5 linked regions of the Mus musculus genome follow. The protein of the gene in region 4 interacts with the protein of the main gene of each other region in a biochemical or structural test. Links are inferred from orthologs where the notes say so. Each region holds a gene or a part of one and is shown on either strand. Other genes may lie near its edges. The genes, in order: Hnrnpu, Sptbn2, Pfn1, Actb and Hip1r.

Region 1 (4,298 bases), on a different chromosome or scaffold from region 4:
GGGTCTCAGGTATCTCCTACTGGCTTTGAACTTTTGTAGCCAAGGATGACAATGAATTTTATTGACTGAGTTGCTTAGTTGCTTAGCTTGAGACAGGGTTTCTTTGTGTAGCTCTGGCTGTCCTGGAACTGGCTTCATAGACAGGGTGGGGGTGGGGGTGAGGGGATGGGGGTGGGTGGGTGGGGTGCCTCTGCTTCCTGAGCGCTGGAGCCAAACTTGGGTGTCACCACTGCCTGCCTGGCTGACACTGAATTCTTGATCATCTTACCTGTATCTCCCAAGTGTTGAAATTATACACATGTACCACCAAGCATAGCTTGGGTGCAATCTACACAGGAAGGCCCCAGTGTAGAAATTAAATTCTATATAAAAGTTTCAAGAACACAACATATTTAATGCCAGAAAACAAATCATAATTTTTTTTCTTTTCTTTTTTGAGATAGGGTCTGGTATTCAACCCAGATAAGCCTGGAATTTACTAAGTAGCCCAGGCTAGCTTTTAACTCTTGATACTTCTGCCTCACTCTGCCAAGTAATAGAACTACAGGTGTTTTCTTTTTTTACTAAATCCCAGCCTTTTGTTACTACCAGTTTGTAGACAAGTCAGCAGGTATACAAACATGTTTAGAGTGGCTGAAAAAACAGGGAGAGGATCAAAGTGCATAATCTAGCTGGGTGCTGGCTGTCTTCCTCATCTGTAATTAAAGGGTCTCCAAACTGGTGGATCAGATTTGCAGGGGACAGAGGCCTATCTTTATAGTACAACGAGGGGAACTTCCATGAAAATCTAAGGCTTACTCAAAGGTCAATAGAAAATACGGTGAGTAGCAACACAAGGCCCGCTCTATATGGCTGTTAGGCATGGTGGAGTACAGCAAGCCTCTTTCCCAAACCTTGCACCACTGGTTGGGGAAGAGACAAAAGAAAGGCTCTGGCCTCGCCCTTGCGGAACTTAAAATAAGTCCGACTGGCAAGGCAGGACTTGTAAAATTTAAAAACGCAGTTAAATGGTGGAAAAACTAAACAAAACACCACCTTTGCATAACAATCGCCTATGGGTGTTCTACAGGGCAGCGGTGGAAACTTGAAGAGTTTTTTAAACCTAGAGCCGGAGGGACAAAAAAAAAAACAAAAACCAAAACAAAAAAAAAAAAACCCAAGAAACAACAACAAAAAAAACAACCCGAAAACCAAAAAACTAAACTAAGATGGAAGAAAGGAGGTTGTTCTCGAGTGGAAAATGCCAGGTGAGGACTGAAGGCGGGTGGAGGAGAGCCTCCGCCAGGACACAGAAGGCAGAGCGCCGGTGGAGCGCGGCGGCTCAAGAGCCGGAAAGGCCGGCGGCCACTGCGGCGGGTCCGTTTAACCGAAAGGTGGCTTCTAAGAGCCTCCATTTGCGCGGTCCGGCCCAGCGCGGAGGTCGCGCAGTGGGGGCGGGGCGGGGCCTGCGCGCGCAGCCGCTCTAGCGGGCCTCGCCTCGGCAGGGGGCGGGGCGCCTATATTACGTGCGCGGCGCCGCCCCTGCGAGAGGACGTTGCGTGCTCGCTCGCGCCGGGCGAGTCTCCGCGTCTTGCCTCGCGAACTCGGTGAAAGGAATTGGCGCCGTTCGACACCAGGCGGGTCCGTTCTGCAGCAGCACTCAGCCATCTCCAGCCGCAGCCGCCGCCCGGGCCGACCAGCAGCAGCCGCCGCCGCCACAGGCCGAGGGAGCCAGCAGTCAGCGGGGAACCGGGGCCCTCAACATGAGTTCTTCGCCTGTTAATGTCAAGAAGCTGAAGGTGTCGGAGCTGAAGGAGGAGCTCAAGAAGCGGCGCCTCTCCGACAAGGGCCTCAAGGCCGATCTCATGGATCGACTCCAGGCCGCGCTGGACAACGAGGCAGGAGGCCGCCCCGCCATGGAGCCCGGGAACGGCAGTCTCGACCTAGGTGGCGATGCGGCCGGGCGCTCGGGAGCGGGCCTAGAGCAGGAGGCCGCGGCTGGCGCCGAAGACGACGAGGAGGAGGAGGGCATCGCCGCTCTGGACGGCGACCAGATGGAGCTGGGCGAGGAGAACGGGGCGGCGGGGGCGGCTGACGCCGGCGCGATGGAGGAAGAGGAGGCAGCGTCGGAAGACGAGAACGGCGACGACCAGGGCTTCCAGGAGGGGGAAGACGAGCTCGGCGACGAGGAGGAGGGCGCGGGCGACGAGAACGGTCACGGGGAGCAGCAGTCCCAACCGCCGGCAGCGGCGGCGCAGCAGCAGCCTTCCCAGCAGCGTGGTGCCGGCAAGGAGGCCGCGGGCAAGAGCAGCGGCCCCACCTCGCTCTTCGCGGTGACGGTGGCGCCGCCAGGGGCGAGGCAGGGCCAACAGCAGGCGGGAGGTAAGAAGGCGGAAGGTGGCGGGTGAGTGTTGCGTGATGGGTGCGCGTGGCGGTGGGGACCGTGCCCCAGGCCTGCCGGGGCCCCTCGGGGCGAGCGCCGCGGGAGGGTGGGGGCGGGGGAGCCCCGGGAGGCTCTGCTCGCCATGCCGGCGGCGCCTCCATTATGTATGTCGGGCGCCGGGGTGGGGGGAGCGCTGCAGCTGCCGCGGTGGGGGGGCCGGCCGGGCGGGAGCGCCGGCCGCTGGGGCGCTGCGTGCGCGCGGTCCGGGCACATGTCGGCGGTGGGGGGAGGGGAGAAGCCCGAAGGTCCCGGAGCGGGCGGGCTTTGGCGGCTTAGCGCCGCGGTATTGTGCAAGGAGCGCAGGGGCTCGTGGTGACGTCACTTCCGGCGGCAGGCGCGGGGAGCGGGGCGGAAGCTCAGTACAATGCGGCGGCGGGGCACGCGGGCTCGTGTGGGGGAGGGGAGGTGGGCCCAGGCTTCCCCCCCCCTCGTTTGAGCGCGGCCGGCGCACGTGGGCCCGGGCGGTGTCCCGCTTTTTTTTTTTTTAAACTCTTTTTAAAAAATGCTTTCTGGAAGGTTGCGGTAGGCTGGCAAGTTCAGTCTTCAGACTGCGTCACTGTGTCCAGTCCAAGTCCAGACTTTTTTATTTTCATTTGTCGATTAAAAAAGTCAAAGAATCAGTCAGAAAAAAATAATCAGTAACAGCTCTTGAGGCTCGAAACACAAAAGGTGCTTAACTGCATTATTTAGTTTTCGGCCTGATGCTTTAAGGCGGTGTTCTGTGTCGTTATAGGAGACGGCAAAACAGAACAGAAAGGTGGAGATAAAAAGAGAGGCGTTAAAAGACCGCGAGAAGATCATGGCCGAGGGTATTTTGAGTACATCGAAGAAAACAAGTACAGCAGGTAGAGGCTCCTCACCCAGTTTTAACAGTCGCCCGCTCTTTTTGTATACAAGGTGGGGAAAGCTTTATCAGGAGACAATTCTGTCTTTCAGAGCCAAGTCTCCTCAGCCACCTGTTGAAGAAGAAGACGAACACTTCGATGACACAGTGGTTTGTCTTGATACTTGTAAGTGAGGCGGACTTTCCCGCTCTTTGCTAGTTTTCAAGTGCAGTGTTAACATTGGTTTTAAGTGTTAGGAAAAATGTGTTGATCTTAAAGTGGAAAAAACCAGTTAAGAAACTTATTTTAAAGCAGGAAGGTAGTAGCTTAATGCTCAGGCTACAGTAGTTTAATATTAATACCACTTCAGTTGTATTGATTTAACAAGCTCTAGTAATTGGTAATATTTACGAGTTGAAACTTCTCAGTACTTGGGGGATGTAAAACTAAATAATTTTTGCTCGGCTATCAGAAACTTGTTTTTTTAAAAACCTGCCTGTAACTTGTCCTTAGATTACATGATTTAGTTTTTTCTCGTGGAACTATGTTAAGTGAGCTATTTGGGCTAGTTGAATACTTACTGATTTTCCCATTAGCACACAAGTGTATTCCCTATTCTAAGGATTGTAATATTAACTTTCAATAACTGCTCTTTTGTTCTCAATTCCAGTTCAGTAGCTGCTGCTTTAACATAAGTTGATTTCTTCCAAAGACCTGGGGCAGCAGCAGTGGGCTATCTGAGCCACTAGCTTTCTTCAGCAGCGAATGGTATCAATGGCAGCACTGTAAATATGCTACTTAACCCAGTTGGGTTGCAATTGAATATGAGGAAGTATTGCAAACCATGAAATGGGCTTTAGCTGTCAGATTTGTATTTTTATCCTTTAAAGAAGTCAGTTTAGTATTTAATAAGAACATATCTTTTGGTGTGAGCAGAACAAAAAAAGTACAAATCAGTGCTTAGTTACAGGATTTCACTTGGTAGAAGGGGTTAAAAGCTTGGATTCTCATGTTTTCCCTGTACAAATTGTTCAGAGCCCTGAGAGTTAAGT
Region 2 (3,510 bases), on a different chromosome or scaffold from region 4:
CAGGTTCGATTCCCAGCACCCACAGGTCAGCTCACAACCATATGTAAGGTCAGTTTCAGTGACTCCCGCATCCTCGTTTGGCCTCACTGGGCACCAGGCAAACGCATGGTACACATGCAAGCACACACAGGTATACACACACACACAGAGCAAAACTTTCATATCCATAAAACAAAATTGAAAAGACATTTTTTAAAGTCAGAAAGAACCTTGCTTCAAAACCCAGTATGTAGCTTCGAGCCAAATAACCCTGAGCCAGTGGGTTAACAGCAGCAGCAGCGTGGCTACTTCATCTATGAATCAGGGAAGGCCCTCCGCTCATGAGTGACAGGACACACGGCACAACTGACACTTGTTAAGAACTTAGGAAGCATTTTCTGTAGCAACAAAAGAGCCCTAGAGGTAAGAGCCATGCCTTGCCCCCTATGAGCACCTAGACATTTGGTCCGTGCCTGTCTCAGTTCGGCCATCTTTATGCTTCTGTGGTAATTTACCTCAGCTCTAGAGCAGAATCTGGGCCTTTAATCTCCAGGTACTTACAAAGAAGACTCAGAAGAAGAGTAGAGCGGGAGTCTGAAACCATCATCTTAAAGCTGCTGTGTGCGTGACCCTGAATCCTTTGTGTCTTCCTTTAGCATACCTGCTCTGTCCTATGGAGCTCTGGCCTGTGGCCCTTGAAGCCCTTGCAGGCTCCAATGCTTCCTTCCTTCAAGTGCATGTGTCTCTCCTCATCATTCCTGTCTAGCCACTCCCTCAGGGTGGCTTCCCACTGGGGGCTGATTTTTTTTTCACCAACAAAAGAAAGCTACCCAGTCATAACCTCTGGCTCCAGCAAAGCCACGGAGAGCTGGGGCAAGCAGATAGAAGAACATGATAACCCAGCATGGTGGTGCACACCTTCAGTCCCAGCACGTGGGAGGCAGAGGCAGGGGAATCCCTTACGTTTAAGGTCAGCTTGGTCTACAAGGCAAGTTCCAGGACAGGCATGGCTACAGAGATAAGCCATGTCTTGAAAAATCCAAACAAAAAGCAGAAGAAAGGCCTGGTGAGCAGCGGCTCAGCCTCACACACACCCCCCCCCCCCCCCCGCGCGCTGCTCATCAGCCACGTCTTTTTGCAGGAACAGGAAGCCACCCACCACCATGAGCAGCACTCTGTCACCCACTGACTTTGACAGCTTGGAGATCCAGGGCCAGTACAGTGACATCAACAACCGCTGGGACCTGCCTGACTCAGACTGGGACAATGACAGCAGTTCGGCCCGCCTCTTTGAGAGGTCCAGGATCAAGGCCCTGGCAGGTACGGGAGGGGCAGGGAGGCGAAGGGATTGGTAGAGGTGGGTTTCTGAGCTTGCGATGGAGAATCCTCTGTCTTTATGGGAAGACTTGCCTCGGTCTCTAAGCTGCTGCTCTGAAGAAACAGGTACCGACCCCTGGTCACCAGATCCAACCTCAAGGACAAACCCCATGCAGTGTACAACACCCCCTAGTTTTCTTCTCCCCTAGCCTGGCGATGCCACACACATTAACCCCTGGAAGGAGCCAGCTGGGTAGATGAGCATCTACCTGCATCGGGTCTCTGCCCCTGCAGTGCTTTGCCTTTATATCTCTAGTTGTCACTTCTGTCCCCATCCACTTCTCCCTCCCCTCCCCTCCCAACGTTTCCCACAGCTGTTCCACTCCTGGCTCATTATCTTCCTGGCACTCTCCCCGCCCTCCTACCTGCTGCCTGTGACTCCAGTTATTTTATTTACCTGTTCCCTGAAGCAGTTCTCTCAGCAGCAGCCCTCCCATTCTCTCAGGGCTTGTGCTCCACCCACCCCCTCGGCCCCTGCCCTCCCCTATGGCCAGGGCTCTCCCCTTGGCTGAGCTGGGACAAACAAACCAGTCTGACTGGCCTCCTGCCTGGGGGGGGGGGGGGGCTGTGGTCATAGCAACAGGAGTGCAGCTGCCACCTGACACCACCACCAGCCTGTGGCTGTTTTGGGATTGACTCACCTACACACCCTAAGGCCACCCACCCAGGCTGCCTTCCACAATCATCCCACGGACCTGCCCGTGGCCCAGCCAGTTCCACTATGGGAGCTTATTCCTCATTACTTCCACACAGGGAGTGATTTCCCAGTGGGGCAGCTCCCAGCAGAAGAGTTTTGGAGGCCCAGAGAATTTTTTACAAATACCAGTTCTCAAGAAGGACATGTAGTCCAGAAACTCAGGACTCTTAAAAGCTTTCCGGACAATGGTTCCAGCTCGTGGGGTTCATGGGTCACTTTCTCCTGGCATCTTCCTAGCTGGGACTGGAGGCCGGCTGATGAAATACTCATATTAGTACTTCAGTAGCTCAGGGAAGACAGAAAATGTGGGGCGTGGAAAATGTCACCCCTGTTGGAGAAGTGTGCCTGGCAGCCTGGGTTTAGATTCGGGAATCCTCTATCCGCTCGCTCTCATTGATGTTATGGTGCACATGCTACCCAAAACGTTCATGGTATCTGCAGTGACACATAACTCCCAGAACTGTCACTGTATCAGGACGGGTCACATGCCAACCAGTGTGATCATGAGCTCTATGTGCACATGCTACATGCCACCCAGTAAATTTGCCAAGTCTAGTTCATATGACAGGTGCTACCCGAAGCTCTCACGACGTCTGAGCACGCCACATACCACTCAGTACTGCTACCATGCCCGAGCATTTGACACATACTTCCCAATATTGTCAAACTCTGCACATAAGACCTGTACCAATCAGAACTGTTACAGTGCACGCGCACGCGCACACGCAGTGTCTCATTGAGTGTTTATTCCCCTGGAGAGGCATCTGTGAATGGCCATGGCTTTGTACAGTGCCACTCACTCAGTAGGTGCCAAATAAACCCTAAATAATTAAAACGAGGAGGAACAAGCGTGGGTTAAGAGTGACAGAAGCAGAGGCCTAGGAAGAGATAGGAAGGGCCCTGATAACGTGCCCAGTATTAGGGTGTCCGGGGCTGGGATATTGACTGAGGAGCTGGTGGGCTGCGGGAAAGGGCTGGTACTGGAGGGCAGTCACAGTACTTACTCCCCAGAGGAGGCCATAGGGGTCAACACCTGGCTTCTCTTCCTGAATCTCCTTGCTTCCGCGTTTCTCTGCTCTCAGGGCTGAGATCAAAGCTCAGCTATCCCGGAACAAGCCCACCTAGAGATGCCCAAAGAAGCTGGCCCACCTGCAGACCTTCTGAAAGCAGGAGTTTGCTTTGGGGCCCTCTCTGGCAGTTTTCCCCTAGTCTTGGGCAACTAGTAGCCTGACGAACAGGTCTCTGGGTGCTGGCAACTCCCTCCTCCGCCCCTGCAGGGCCTGGCCATGCCCCAACTGGCTCCGCCTCCTAGGCAGCCTGCCCCTCCCCCGCCACTGTCCGACCTGTTTGTCTGGAGCTGCCTCTGTCTCCTCTCTCTACAACCAGGTGTGCCCCACTCACTGTCTCAGAAGCTGAGGCATCCCATAACTTTTTCCCCACTCCTTGAAACTCCCAGC
Region 3 (4,310 bases), on a different chromosome or scaffold from region 4:
ACTCACGCGGCGGCCGGCTCTCGAGCGCTCCTCCCCGTCGGCCCTCCCCACGGGGTCGCCCTCCTTGCCTCCACCCTAGGGTCCCCACCTGTCGTGGCGTCCCTGTCCCGCCCCTCCTCTCTTATCTCCTGCCGCTCCCTGCGGGATTTTTCCACCCCCGGGCAGGAGGCGCGCAGATCAGAGGTCAAGGGATGGCGGGCGCAGGCCGCCACGTGCCCCAGCGCGGCCCCGCCCGTGACTCAGCCACGCGGCTGTCGAAGAACCTCGGCTGGGGGGCGTGGGGAGCCAGAATTTGGGGATGAACGTCAGGGAACCCAACCCGGCTCCAAAAGGCAGCGAACCAAGTACTTCCACTGGGAGAGGCTGCACACCCTGGCGCCCCTCCTCCGAGGGACCGGAAGCGGCCGAGCCCCTCGGAGGCCAGGGTCCCGGGTGACTCCTTTACTCCCTCCAGCCTCAGTGGCCTGCCATTCGCCCCTAGACCTGCTCGGCGGCGAGTGAGCTGACCGCACATAAATACTTAGCAAAAGTTTTTCTGGAAAAGAAGAAAGCCCCAGTGCGTCCAAAGTAGAGGGGACTTTCCTCTTCTTATAAAAGTTGTCATCCTTGGTACTTTAGTATTCTTCCGCCTTGAAAAATGAGTCCCGTCGTGTCACCCGGGTGGCGCCCCTATTCAGTGACCTCTGTAGACAGGGTTCAGGCATGGGGCGAGGCTGAGCTGGAGCGGATCCAGCGAAGGGAATGATTCCTCGGGAATCTAGGGACGCGCTCGAATGAACCCAACGTGTGCGCTGTACATGGCAGACGGTTGGGACAGGTGCCCTGGTTGGAGAGACCTTTAGTACTGAAAATGACTAGAGTATTATATCGATTTCACTTTTGCTCCCTTATCGTTTAGATAAATGTGGAGAAGGCAGCAGGGCCCAACCCGGGGCGTCTGCCCGTCCCGACTGCTGGGGACGCGTCTTCCCTCCTCGGATGGTCCAAATGTGTCCCGCCAGGCGCGCGCTCACGCAGCCAAGCCGCTAGCCCCAACCGCCCCACGCGCTGGCTTCTCACTGCCCCGGCGCAGGCGCGGGCGCACGCGCCGCCGCCCGCCGTTCCTTCCCTCCCGCGGAGGTGGGGGTTGGGGGGTGGAGGAATGATTCGGTTTAACCCTGGGTTCCCCGAACCCACTTCAACTTGCTCAACCTTACTAATTTTCTTTTTTTTTTTTTTTTCTTTTTCTTTCCCTGCTTCCTCTGGCTTCCTCCTTCTATAGCCAAGTGGTATTCAGGATGAATCGGAGCGAGCCCTAACCTTAACCTCTCCTGCCACCACCACTCTATATAGCCTTTGGCGTGGCTTTCCATCGAACTCGGCAAATTTTGCAAAGTGGGGGGAGGGTTTTTTAAAAATTGCATTTGCAAAAGTTCGCTATCTGGCCCGGCGGGGGGGGGGGGAGGATGGAGGGAGGGAATGGGGCGCAGGCCCCGCCCCGCCGCCCTTTGCAAATAAAAATCTAGAGGGGGGGGGGAGGAGCAGGAAGTGGCGGTGCGAGGGCTGCTGCACAGCTAACAGAGCCGCGTTCCGGACGGCAGCGCGTGCCCCGAGCTCTCTGCCTTCCCCCGCCCGCCAGCCCGAGCCCGAGCCCGCGATCCCAGCAACAGCCCGCAGAGCAGCCCCAGCAGCAGCGCCATGGCCGGGTGGAACGCCTACATCGACAGCCTTATGGCGGACGGGACCTGTCAGGACGCGGCCATCGTAGGCTACAAGGACTCGCCCTCCGTCTGGGCCGCCGTCCCCGGGAAGACCTTCGTTAGCATTACGGTACTGCGAGGCTCGTGCGGTCCCGAGCAGTGACCGGCCTTAGACCCTCTGGGGGACTGGGGTGGGGGCGGGCGCAGGCGAGCGAGGGCAGCGGGAGGCCGTGATCCGGTCCTCTCCCATCGGCGGGGCGAATGGCGGCTGCGTGAGACTGGCTCCCTCTGTGGTTCCCCGGGCTCTACGCCCCTCGGCGGCGGCGCCCATCTCGCCCGCCGCCCCGCTTTCTGCGACCGGGCGTTACATCCGGGGCCCAGGGCGGGGAGGGGCGCGGCGGCCGGTGCGGCGGCCCACTTCCGCCTCCTCCAGGGCGGGGCGGGCACGCGCTGCAGTTTTAGCCCGGGATTATGATTGATAAGGGGCTCCGGAGCCTGGACTCCCCTTCGGGCCGAATGCTCGCTCTCCCTCCACCATTGTTCCCCCTGACGCTGATGGGAGCGCCAGGCGCGTGGCCTTGGGCCCGGGCCGGACCTCGGTAGCCACCCTGCCCCTCCCAGCTCCGTTAGAGAGGGCGAGGCCGCCACACACACACACACCCCCCAAGTCGGCACGTTAGCCTCAACATTCCTGGGAGGCCGATTCCGGAAGTCCCCTCGCCCTCCCTTCCCGCCATCCGCCCGGGCCCGGCGTAGGGGAACTTTGTGAGAAGTTCTGAGACGGTAAAAGTGAAGGAATAAGGTTGCTGCTGTCCCTACCACCACCTTCCCTGACCACACTGCCCGGAAGTGGGGAGGGGGAGCGGAAGTTCGAATGGGGGGAGGGGATTTCCGGGCGGGAGGGTACCGGATATAGGGGTTTGGGGGTTTAAGGGGGAGAAGGAGAAAGGTTCTCTGGGATGTCTAGACTCACACACAGACTAGTCTCCTGCCCTAATAAACTTTTTGAACTTAATTAGAGAGCCCCCGGGGTCAGCTTCCTTATCTTGGGGCATAGCTACCTGGACCCAAACTCCAGGTTACCCGGAGACCCAGGCGTCCGGGCTCCTAACAACGCCTGCAGAACCTTTGACCAAATAAGGACAAAGTTACTTCTCCTCCCTTCCTACCCCCTCCCTTCCCCTCTTTGCTTCTGCTTTTCCTGAAGGGCTGTTCTGAGCATCCAAAGGCTCCCCCTCGATCATTGATCGATTTCTGGTACCCAGCATTTGCTTTCCCTATTAAGCATGAACATCTAAGACTTCAGAGGAATACTTTTTCCTCCTTGACCCATTTACCAGACTTTAGGACCATGATCGGTCTCTGCAATACCCACAGTACTGGGTTTTCCCCCCAACTTTTGGTGGTGTGGATGAAGCACCCTCAACTCCAGCTCCACAGTACATAAGAGGACAAGTTATGCAGGTGCACTAACTTAATGAGGTGATTAATTCTTTTAGCCAGCTGAGGTTGGTGTCCTGGTAGGCAAAGACCGGTCAAGTTTTTTCGTCAATGGGCTGACACTTGGGGGCCAGAAATGTTCTGTGATCCGGGACTCACTGCTGCAAGACGGGGAATTTACAATGGATCTTCGTACCAAGAGCACCGGAGGAGCCCCCACCTTCAATGTCACTGTCACCATGACTGCCAAGAGTGAGTTTGACTGATTCTCTAGCTTTGAAATCCTTTTGTTAGTCACTTTATGTGTCCTCAGTGTCAAGGCTGCATAACAGTATTTACTCTGCTGGTTATGGGAACCGTGGATGGTCCTTTGGGTTCTGACTCTGGCTCCCCAGCTTGTAAAGAAACTAAAACTTATATTACCTCTTAAGTCCCTTCTTGCTTTGAGCTTTTTTGAGATTAGTTTGCTTAGGGCAGTTGGGATCTTAAGTCAGCATTTGGCTCTAATCTCCAGTTCTGTAAAGACTTGAGAGGTAGGAAGCGCATCACAGCCGTTCCTAGCCACCTACAGCCTGGAAGTTTAGGACCTCTAAATTTTGCCTTTTTCTTTACTACTCTTAAAGCTCTTTTTTTTTTTTCCTTCTTTGAAAAGCTCTATTGTTTTAGGATGACTGACAGCCTGCCTGTGTATAAGGGGGGGAGGGCTGGTTAGGAGGGCTGAGGTTAGGTTACAACCCCCGGGGCCAGACAGCTGCTGAACAGCTGGCAGGGTTGAATTGTGACACCTGGGTCCTAGCTTCCTTTTTCTTTCCTCCAGCGCTAGTCCTGCTGATGGGCAAAGAAGGTGTCCACGGTGGTTTGATCAACAAGAAATGTTATGAAATGGCCTCTCACCTGCGGCGTTCCCAGTACTGACCTCATCTGTCCCTTCCCCCCACCGTTCCCTTTGGCTTTTGCACCCCCTTCTTTCCATACACACACATACCATTATTTTTTGGGCCATTACCCCATTTCCCTTATTGCTGCCAAAACCACATGGGCTGGGGGCTGGGGCTGGATGGACAGACACCTCCCCCTACCCATACCCCCTCCTGTGTGTGTTTGGAAAATTTTTGTTTTTGGGTTTCATTTTTTGTTTTTTGGTCTTTTTTTTTTTTTTTTTTTTCTGAATAAAAAAAGATTCTACTAACA
Region 4 (4,190 bases):
GCTGGGGTGATGGTCACCTCTTCCAGACAAGGCCTCAGCAACTTCAAAATGCCCTGCCACCAGCCAAGAACAAGGAAGCTGGCCACTGTAGTCCATATATGGATGAAGCCTTCTTTGGTTTCAACACCTACACTTTGTGAGCCAGTGAACACCTACCTATGCATGCACTGAGGCACGGCAGGCCCAGAGCATCTCACCTGAAGCACCCTTCTTGCCTAAATCCAGCTTTCTGTCACACTCTCCCAGAAGGTGCGTGTCCTTCTAAGCTAAGCTGAGGGATCCGGCCCTCAACCCTGACCCCGTGTGTAGCTCTCAGCCAAATAGCTGGCTTGCTAAGTAGAACACTGGTACTTAGGTGAGGGGGACAGGGGCTGCTTCTCTCTGGAGGATTTGGGGCTCCGGTGACCACCAACTTTTCCCTGAGCAGCTTGTCACTCCCAGAATCCCCACGGCTGGCAGATGGACTAGTGCACAACTCAGCTGTGGCTGCACATAATAAATAGAGGATAGATGGTGGGCCCCAGCCCAGCGATGTCTGGCAGTCACCCAGAGACACTAGCTAACGGCCCAGGCTTAGTCTTGCCTGGGTGTGATCAGGCAGTTCTCCAAAAGTGCCTGACTCCATGAGAAGTTTTGTTTGTTCTATTGAGCACAGTTCCTTTCTAGATCCGGGGCAGGGGATATCTGGAGGCATCTTCTTGCAACACCTCCAGTTATTGGACCACTGGGGCTCGCCCTATGCTTGGGATAGGATGGCCTTGAGTCTCTAAGAGGTCAAGATCCATGAAAACCTCTCCAACCAGAGTTCTGCTTCCAAGTTGAACCCCAACACACCTAGCAAATTAGAACCACAGCAGAAGGGGCCCCCCCGGATCTGGCTTTCCGGCTATTGCTAGCAATTGCTAGCAAGGGGGAGTGACTCTCTGTCCATTCAATCCAGGCCCCGCGTGTCCCTCAAACAAGAGGCCACACAAATAGGGTCCGGGCCTCGATGCTGACCCTCATCCACTTAAGTGCTCGATATCCACGTGACATCCACACCCAGAGGGTCCTGGGGTGGTTGGGTGACCCCCAGAATGCAGGCCTAGTAACCGAGACATTGAATGGGGCAGTGTCCACAAGGGCGGAGGCTATTCCTGTACATCTGGGCCTACGGAGCCAGCACCCATCGCCAAAACTCTTCATCCTCTTCCTCAATCTCGCTTTCTCTCTCGCTTTTTTTTTTTTTCTTCTTCTTTTTTTTTTTTTTTTTCAAAAGGAGGGGAGAGGGGGTAAAAAAATGCTGCACTGTGCGGCGAGGCCGGTGAGTGAGCGACGCGGAGCCAATCAGCGCCCGCCGTTCCGAAAGTTGCCTTTTATGGCTCGAGTGGCCGCTGTGGCGTCCTATAAAACCCGGCGGCGCAACGCGCAGCCACTGTCGAGTCGCGTCCACCCGCGAGCACAGCTTCTTTGCAGCTCCTTCGTTGCCGGTCCACACCCGCCACCAGGTAAGCAGGGACGCCGGGCCCAGCGGGCCTTCGCTCTCTCGTGGCTAGTACCTCACTGCAGGGTCCTGAGGATCACTCAGAACGGACACCATGGGCGGGTGGAGGGTGGTGCCGGGCCGCGGAGCGGACACTGGCACAGCCAACTTTACGCCTAGCGTGTAGACTCTTTGCAGCCACATTCCCGCGGTGTAGACACTCGTGGGCCCGCTCCCGCTCGGTGCGTGGGGCTTGGGGACACACTAGGGTCGCGGTGTGGGCATTTGATGAGCCGGTGCGGCTTGCGGGTGTTAAAAGCCGTATTAGGTCCATCTTGAGAGTACACAGTATTGGGAACCAGACGCTACGATCACGCCTCAATGGCCTCTGGGTCTTTGTCCAAACCGGTTTGCCTATTCGGCTTGCCGGGCGGGCGGGCGGGCGGGCGGGCGCGGCAGGGCCGGCTCGGCCGGGTGGGGGCTGGGATGCCACTGCGCGTGCGCTCTCTATCACTGGGCATCGAGGCGCGTGTGCGCTAGGGAGGGAGCTCTTCCTCTCCCCCTCTTCCTAGTTAGCTGCGCGTGCGTATTGAGGCTGGGAGCGCGGCTGCCCGGGGTTGGGCGAGGGCGGGGCCGTTGTCCGGAAGGGGCGGGGTCACAGTGGCACGGGCGCCTTGTTTGCGCTTCCTGCTGGGTGTGGTCGCCTCCCGCGCGCGCACAAGCCGCCCGTCGGCGCAGTGTAGGCGGAGCTTGCGCCCGTTTGGGGAGGGGGCGGAGGTCTGGCTTCCTGCCCTAGGTCCGCCTCCGGGCCAGCGTTTGCCTTTTATGGTAATAATGCGGCCGGTCTGCGCTTCCTTTGTCCCCTGAGCTTGGGCGCGCGCCCCCTGGCGGCTCGAGCCCGCGGCTTGCCGGAAGTGGGCAGGGCGGCAGCGGCTGCTCTTGGCGGCCCCGAGGTGACTATAGCCTTCTTTTGTGTCTTGATAGTTCGCCATGGATGACGATATCGCTGCGCTGGTCGTCGACAACGGCTCCGGCATGTGCAAAGCCGGCTTCGCGGGCGACGATGCTCCCCGGGCTGTATTCCCCTCCATCGTGGGCCGCCCTAGGCACCAGGTAAGTGACCTGTTACTTTGGGAGTGGCAAGCCTGGGGTTTTCTTGGGGATCGATGCCGGTGCTAAGAAGGCTGTTCCCTTCCACAGGGTGTGATGGTGGGAATGGGTCAGAAGGACTCCTATGTGGGTGACGAGGCCCAGAGCAAGAGAGGTATCCTGACCCTGAAGTACCCCATTGAACATGGCATTGTTACCAACTGGGACGACATGGAGAAGATCTGGCACCACACCTTCTACAATGAGCTGCGTGTGGCCCCTGAGGAGCACCCTGTGCTGCTCACCGAGGCCCCCCTGAACCCTAAGGCCAACCGTGAAAAGATGACCCAGGTCAGTATCCCGGGTAACCCTTCTCTTTGGCCAGCTTCTCAGCCACGCCCTTTCTCAATTGTCTTTCTTCTGCCGTTCTCCCATAGGACTCCCTTCTATGAGCTGAGTCTCCCTTGGATCTTTGCAGTTTCTGCTCTTTCCCAGACGAGGTCTTTTTTTCTCTCAATTGCCTTTCTGACTAGGTGTTTAAACCCTACAGTGCTGTGGGTTTAGGTACTAACAATGGCTCGTGTGACAAAGCTAATGAGGCTGGTGATAAGTGGCCTTGGAGTGTGTATTGAGTAGATGCACAGTAGGTCTAAGTGGAGCCCCTGTCCTGAGACTCCCAGCACACTGAACTTAGCTGTGTTCTTGCACTCCTTGCATGTCTCAGATCTATCCATACAGTTTCACCTGCCCTGAGTGTTTCTTGTGGCTTTCTGAACTTGACAACATTATTTATTTTTCTCTACAGATCATGTTTGAGACCTTCAACACCCCAGCCATGTACGTAGCCATCCAGGCTGTGCTGTCCCTGTATGCCTCTGGTCGTACCACAGGCATTGTGATGGACTCCGGAGACGGGGTCACCCACACTGTGCCCATCTACGAGGGCTATGCTCTCCCTCACGCCATCCTGCGTCTGGACCTGGCTGGCCGGGACCTGACAGACTACCTCATGAAGATCCTGACCGAGCGTGGCTACAGCTTCACCACCACAGCTGAGAGGGAAATCGTGCGTGACATCAAAGAGAAGCTGTGCTATGTTGCTCTAGACTTCGAGCAGGAGATGGCCACTGCCGCATCCTCTTCCTCCCTGGAGAAGAGCTATGAGCTGCCTGACGGCCAGGTCATCACTATTGGCAACGAGCGGTTCCGATGCCCTGAGGCTCTTTTCCAGCCTTCCTTCTTGGGTAAGTTGTAGCCTAGTCCTTTCTCCATCTAAAGGTGACAAAACTCCTGAGGCCATAGTACAAGTTAAGTCTGATTTCTGTCACTCTTCTCTTAGGTATGGAATCCTGTGGCATCCATGAAACTACATTCAATTCCATCATGAAGTGTGACGTTGACATCCGTAAAGACCTCTATGCCAACACAGTGCTGTCTGGTGGTACCACCATGTACCCAGGCATTGCTGACAGGATGCAGAAGGAGATTACTGCTCTGGCTCCTAGCACCATGAAGATCAAGGTAAGCTAAGCATCCTTAGCTTGGTGAGGGTGGGCCCTGTGGTTGTCAGAGCAACCTTCTAGGTTTAAGGGGAATCCCAGCACCCAGAGAGCTCACCATTCACCATCTTGTCTTGCTT
Region 5 (3,510 bases), about 19 Mb from region 4:
CCACCAGCTCTTTAGTAAAGTGCCCTGCTCAGAACTGGCCTGTTGCCCCGACAAAGTGCTCTCTTTGCCTCTCACAAGACTTTCTCTGGCAAGAGTGACAAGGAATGAGGTTAAGGAGGGGAAGCTAGAGACAGAGTAATGAGATTGGTGAAGACTAGCAGGAAATGTTTGTTGAGCGAGTGAGTGACTGATTTGTGGAAGAAAGGCCTGCTTCTCTTGCTACCTCTTTTCTTCCTGTCTGGGCACATGCTCAATCCTTGGGATTCCTAGGTGTGTTCTTGACAGTGACCTCACACAGGGCTCCCATCCCCACAGGGCCACCTTCGTGACCAGTATGGACACCTGGTGAATATCTATACCAAACTGTTGCTGACTAAGATCTCCTTCCACCTTAAGGTAGTCTCCCTGAGCAATCATGGACTATGGGACTGGGAGGCTCTTCTCTCTGTGACATCCTGGGGCATAGAGGGGGTTGGATGGCACCTGTCCATCCATGCTCTGTCCACTTGCTGTGGAGGCTAGGAAGACTGGCAGGAGATCATCGGGCTGTCTCCATGTTTGCATAGATCCAATGCAGATGCCAGCCTGTGTGTGCTCCAGTGGCCTTGCCCGTCAGTCCTGGTCAGGCTGCCCCTGCCTCAGCCCCAGGATTTCTGTCGGCCCCTTTGGCTTAACCAGAGAAGCTGGGATCACAGAATGAGGGGATTGAGAAACCTCCCTGGCGACTCCCCTTCTCATGGGAGCTGTCAGGAGCAGGGATGGGACCCGTGTGTGGCTGCTCAATGAGGCTGCGTGGGGGCTGTTTCTGCAGCATCCCCAGTTTCCTGCAGGCCTGGAGGTAACAGATGAGGTGTTGGAGAAGGCGGCGGGAACTGATGTCAACAACATGTGAGTCTGTGTAGCCTCAGTTTCCCCCAAGTGCCTGCCCACTGGGGACCATGTCAAGTGAGGCCACAGGGCTGAAGGTCATGACCCCCAGGGGGCCAGGCTATGGGTGAAGGGGTTTATCAGGTACTCCATGTTTCTGCCTGATGGAGTTTGCTTCCTGTTCCTAAGGGGTCTCGGGGATTGTGTGGGTGTGCCCTGCTGCCCTTTGCATCCCCGTCTTTTCTCCTAGTTTTCAGCTTACCGTGGAGATGTTTGACTACATGGACTGTGAACTGAAGCTTTCTGAGTCAGGTGAGCAAGTCACTCATGCCAGGCTGTGAAGGCACTGGTGGGCAGGCTGGATTTTCACTTGTCTTTCCTGCTGTTGGGGTGAAACCTGGGCCCCACTGACACTGGGCGAGTGATTCTTCTGATAGAGCACCCACAGTAACCCAGGTCTTACGTGCACCTCTTCCTTGGGGTCCCTCTCCCTCCAAGACAGAAGGGGGCCTCATGGTACCTCCAGAGCACAAGCAGAGACTTCCCTTCCTCGAGACCCTACGTGTGTCCAAGACATGGCACATGAAGGCCACTATGGGCCCCTGGGTGTGGAGGGTGGGGTGTGCCCCATGGAGGACCCTCTAGGCTCCTGCCTGGCCTCGGCACCGCACTACTCTCCAGGAGAGAAAACATGGCTAACATTTCCTACTGTGTGTTCTGAAATGCCTCACGGTCCTGTCAGACTGTTCAGCCAAAGAACTGGCAGCTGTTGGACAGGAAATCTCTGAGGGCTCACCCTCCCCGCCCGCCTGGGAGGTGATTGTTCTGGGCTGTACCTTCAAAATAACTGCTGTGACTCACTGTTGGCTATGATGAAGCCCAAGGCACACGCCTTTTTAAGGAAAAACAGGGAATTGGGAAGAGGCAGGACAGCCACTCTGTACGCTGGGTCTGGGCCTGTGGCTCTGGAGGGTGAGAGGCCAGCGTGGAGCCTGTCCAGGAGTAGGACAAAACGGCAGGTCACCAGGGGTGTGGCCCAGTAGTGCAGCTGGACCCAGGCCACCAGGAATTGAGTCCTGGCAGAAAGGGGAAGCCCGAGCTCCTCAGAGCACACAGGCCGTGAGATTCAAGCCGTAGCCCTTGTGTCCCACCCTAGCTGCTCTTGACCTAGGAGGAGGCCCAGGGGGAAGGACCTGCAGGCCCCTATCCTTGGTGACTTATAGAGAGTGGGCACACGTAGGTGACAGAAGATAGAAACCCCTGCAGGTCTACCTCAGTAGAAAGCCCGCTGTAACACACTGCCTTCAATGGGAGTGCAAGGCTGTTAAGAGCGATGTGCCTCAGAAGGCTGAGGCAGGAGAATCGTGAATTTGAGGCCTGCTTGAGCTAGAGTAAGTTCAAGGTCAACCTGGGGAGCTTACTGAGACCCAGTCTCAAAAGTGAGAAGGGCTGGAGAGCGCCCTGGCCCTGTGGCTGGTCCTAACTGTCCAGTTCTAGGGGATCTGATGCCCTCTTCTGGCCTTTGAGGGCATTGCAGGCATGTGGTGCACAGGCAAAACACCTATACATAGAAAATAAAGGAAAGAAAACTTTAAATAAGAGGTCCGAGTTTGGTGGCACATGCCCTTAATCCTGGTGCTTAAGAGAAAAAAATCAATCATATATCTGAGTTTGAGACCAATCTGGTCTCGATTAGCCAGGGTGGCACCTAAATAATGAAGTGCTTGCCTAGCATGTGGGGGTGGGTGGGTGGGCGACACTCTGGGGAGGAGGGAGGGGCAGAGGAAGGGAGAAAGGAAGGGCACAGAACAAAACCAGAGTTTACACACACACACACACCCCAAGATAAAAAAAAGCCAAAACCAAACAAAGAAACAAAACCCTAGTGTGGCTTCCATCCTTGCAGACAGCTCCTCCCCCCCCCCCCCCAGGCATGGCCAGACCAAGGGGCTGAGGGCTTCTGGCACCACTCAGATCTGCCCCACATGGGGCCTGGCTGCTCTCCCGGCCTGGCTCACTGCCCCGCTCTTTGTCATTCCCCTCTCTGCCCCAGAGAAGATGCTGGCCAGGGGAGGCAGCCTCGTGTTTGTCCTTTGTCTGTCCCTCTTTCTCTGGAGTTCTGATACAAGGCCTGATTGTCAGGGTCTCCAGGACAAGTGAGGAGGCATCAGGTCATTTGGGGCTCACAGAGCCTGTGTTCAAGGCTGTGACCTGGAACAGACACTAGCCAGTCTCCACAGCTACACGATGGGCTATTACAGTGACAGTCTTTTTACGAAAACCAAAAACCAAACCCGTATGGTGTTTGGCCTGCATGTACATCTGTGTACCATGTCTATGCCTGGTACCTGTAGAAGCCAGAAGAGGGCATCAAACCCTCTGGCACCAGAGTTATGGATTAGTTGTGAGGGTGTGTGTGTGTGTGTGTGTGTGTGTGTGTGTGTGTGTGTGTTGGGAAATAGAACCTAGGTCTTCAGGAAGAGTAGCCAGCACAGTAGCCCCTAAGCCACCTCTCCGGCCTCTTTTGTTGTTTTTGAGACAAGGTCTTGCTTTTCAGAAGTTTGGCCTTGAGCTCAATCCTCCTGCCTCAGTTTTCTGAGCAGATTATAGGTTTGCACTAACATGCTTAGTTGGAGTGACAGT

The links.
Region 1: the proteins of Actb (region 4) and Hnrnpu form a complex in vitro, tested with the Homo sapiens proteins (2 studies listed by BioGRID). The link is inferred for Mus musculus from reciprocal best matches to the Homo sapiens genes ACTB and HNRNPU.
Region 2: the proteins of Actb (region 4) and Sptbn2 form a complex in vitro, tested with the Homo sapiens proteins (2 studies listed by BioGRID). The link is inferred for Mus musculus from reciprocal best matches to the Homo sapiens genes ACTB and SPTBN2.
Region 3: the proteins of Actb (region 4) and Pfn1 form a complex in vitro, tested with the Homo sapiens proteins (2 studies listed by BioGRID and IntAct, with this or other methods). The link is inferred for Mus musculus from reciprocal best matches to the Homo sapiens genes ACTB and PFN1.
Region 5: the proteins of Actb (region 4) and Hip1r form a complex in vitro, tested with the Homo sapiens proteins (2 studies listed by BioGRID). The link is inferred for Mus musculus from reciprocal best matches to the Homo sapiens genes ACTB and HIP1R.

Annotation. Positions count from the first base shown.
Region 1 is NC_000067.6:178,335,016-178,339,313, reverse strand, and holds the start of Hnrnpu (heterogeneous nuclear ribonucleoprotein U), read left to right. Parts: upstream 1-1,498; 5' UTR 1,499-1,742; coding exon 1,743-2,361; intron 2,362-3,155; coding exon 3,156-3,267; intron 3,268-3,358; coding exon 3,359-3,432; intron 3,433-4,298. UniProt on the Homo sapiens protein: DNA- and RNA-binding protein involved in several cellular processes such as nuclear chromatin organization, telomere-length regulation, transcription, mRNA alternative splicing and stability, Xist-mediated transcriptional silencing and mitotic cell progression.
Region 2 is NC_000085.6:4,717,699-4,721,208, forward strand, and holds part of Sptbn2 (spectrin beta chain, non-erythrocytic 2), read left to right. Parts: intron 1-1,120; 5' UTR 1,121-1,142; coding exon 1,143-1,299; intron 1,300-3,057; exon of another isoform or gene 3,058-3,146; intron 3,147-3,510. UniProt on the Homo sapiens protein: Probably plays an important role in neuronal membrane skeleton.
Region 3 is NC_000077.6:70,651,848-70,656,157, reverse strand, and holds the start of Pfn1 (profilin-1), read left to right. Parts: upstream 1-1,507; 5' UTR 1,508-1,677; coding exon 1,678-1,809; exon of another isoform or gene 1,810-3,033; intron 3,034-3,178; coding exon 3,179-3,371; intron 3,372-3,936; coding exon 3,937-4,034; 3' UTR 4,035-4,310. UniProt on the Homo sapiens protein: Binds to actin and affects the structure of the cytoskeleton. At high concentrations, profilin prevents the polymerization of actin, whereas it enhances it at low concentrations. By binding to PIP2, it inhibits the formation of IP3 and DG.
Region 4 is NC_000071.6:142,903,949-142,908,138, reverse strand, and holds the start of Actb (actin, cytoplasmic 1), read left to right. Parts: upstream 1-1,384; 5' UTR 1,385-1,487; intron 1,488-2,446; 5' UTR 2,447-2,452; coding exon 2,453-2,575; intron 2,576-2,662; coding exon 2,663-2,902; intron 2,903-3,356; coding exon 3,357-3,795; intron 3,796-3,890; coding exon 3,891-4,072; intron 4,073-4,190. UniProt on the Homo sapiens protein: Actin is a highly conserved protein that polymerizes to produce filaments that form cross-linked networks in the cytoplasm of cells.
Region 5 is NC_000071.6:123,990,627-123,994,136, forward strand, and holds part of Hip1r (huntingtin-interacting protein 1-related protein), read left to right. Parts: intron 1-315; coding exon 316-396; intron 397-811; coding exon 812-888; intron 889-1,117; coding exon 1,118-1,179; intron 1,180-3,510. UniProt on the Homo sapiens protein: Component of clathrin-coated pits and vesicles, that may link the endocytic machinery to the actin cytoskeleton. Binds 3-phosphoinositides (via ENTH domain).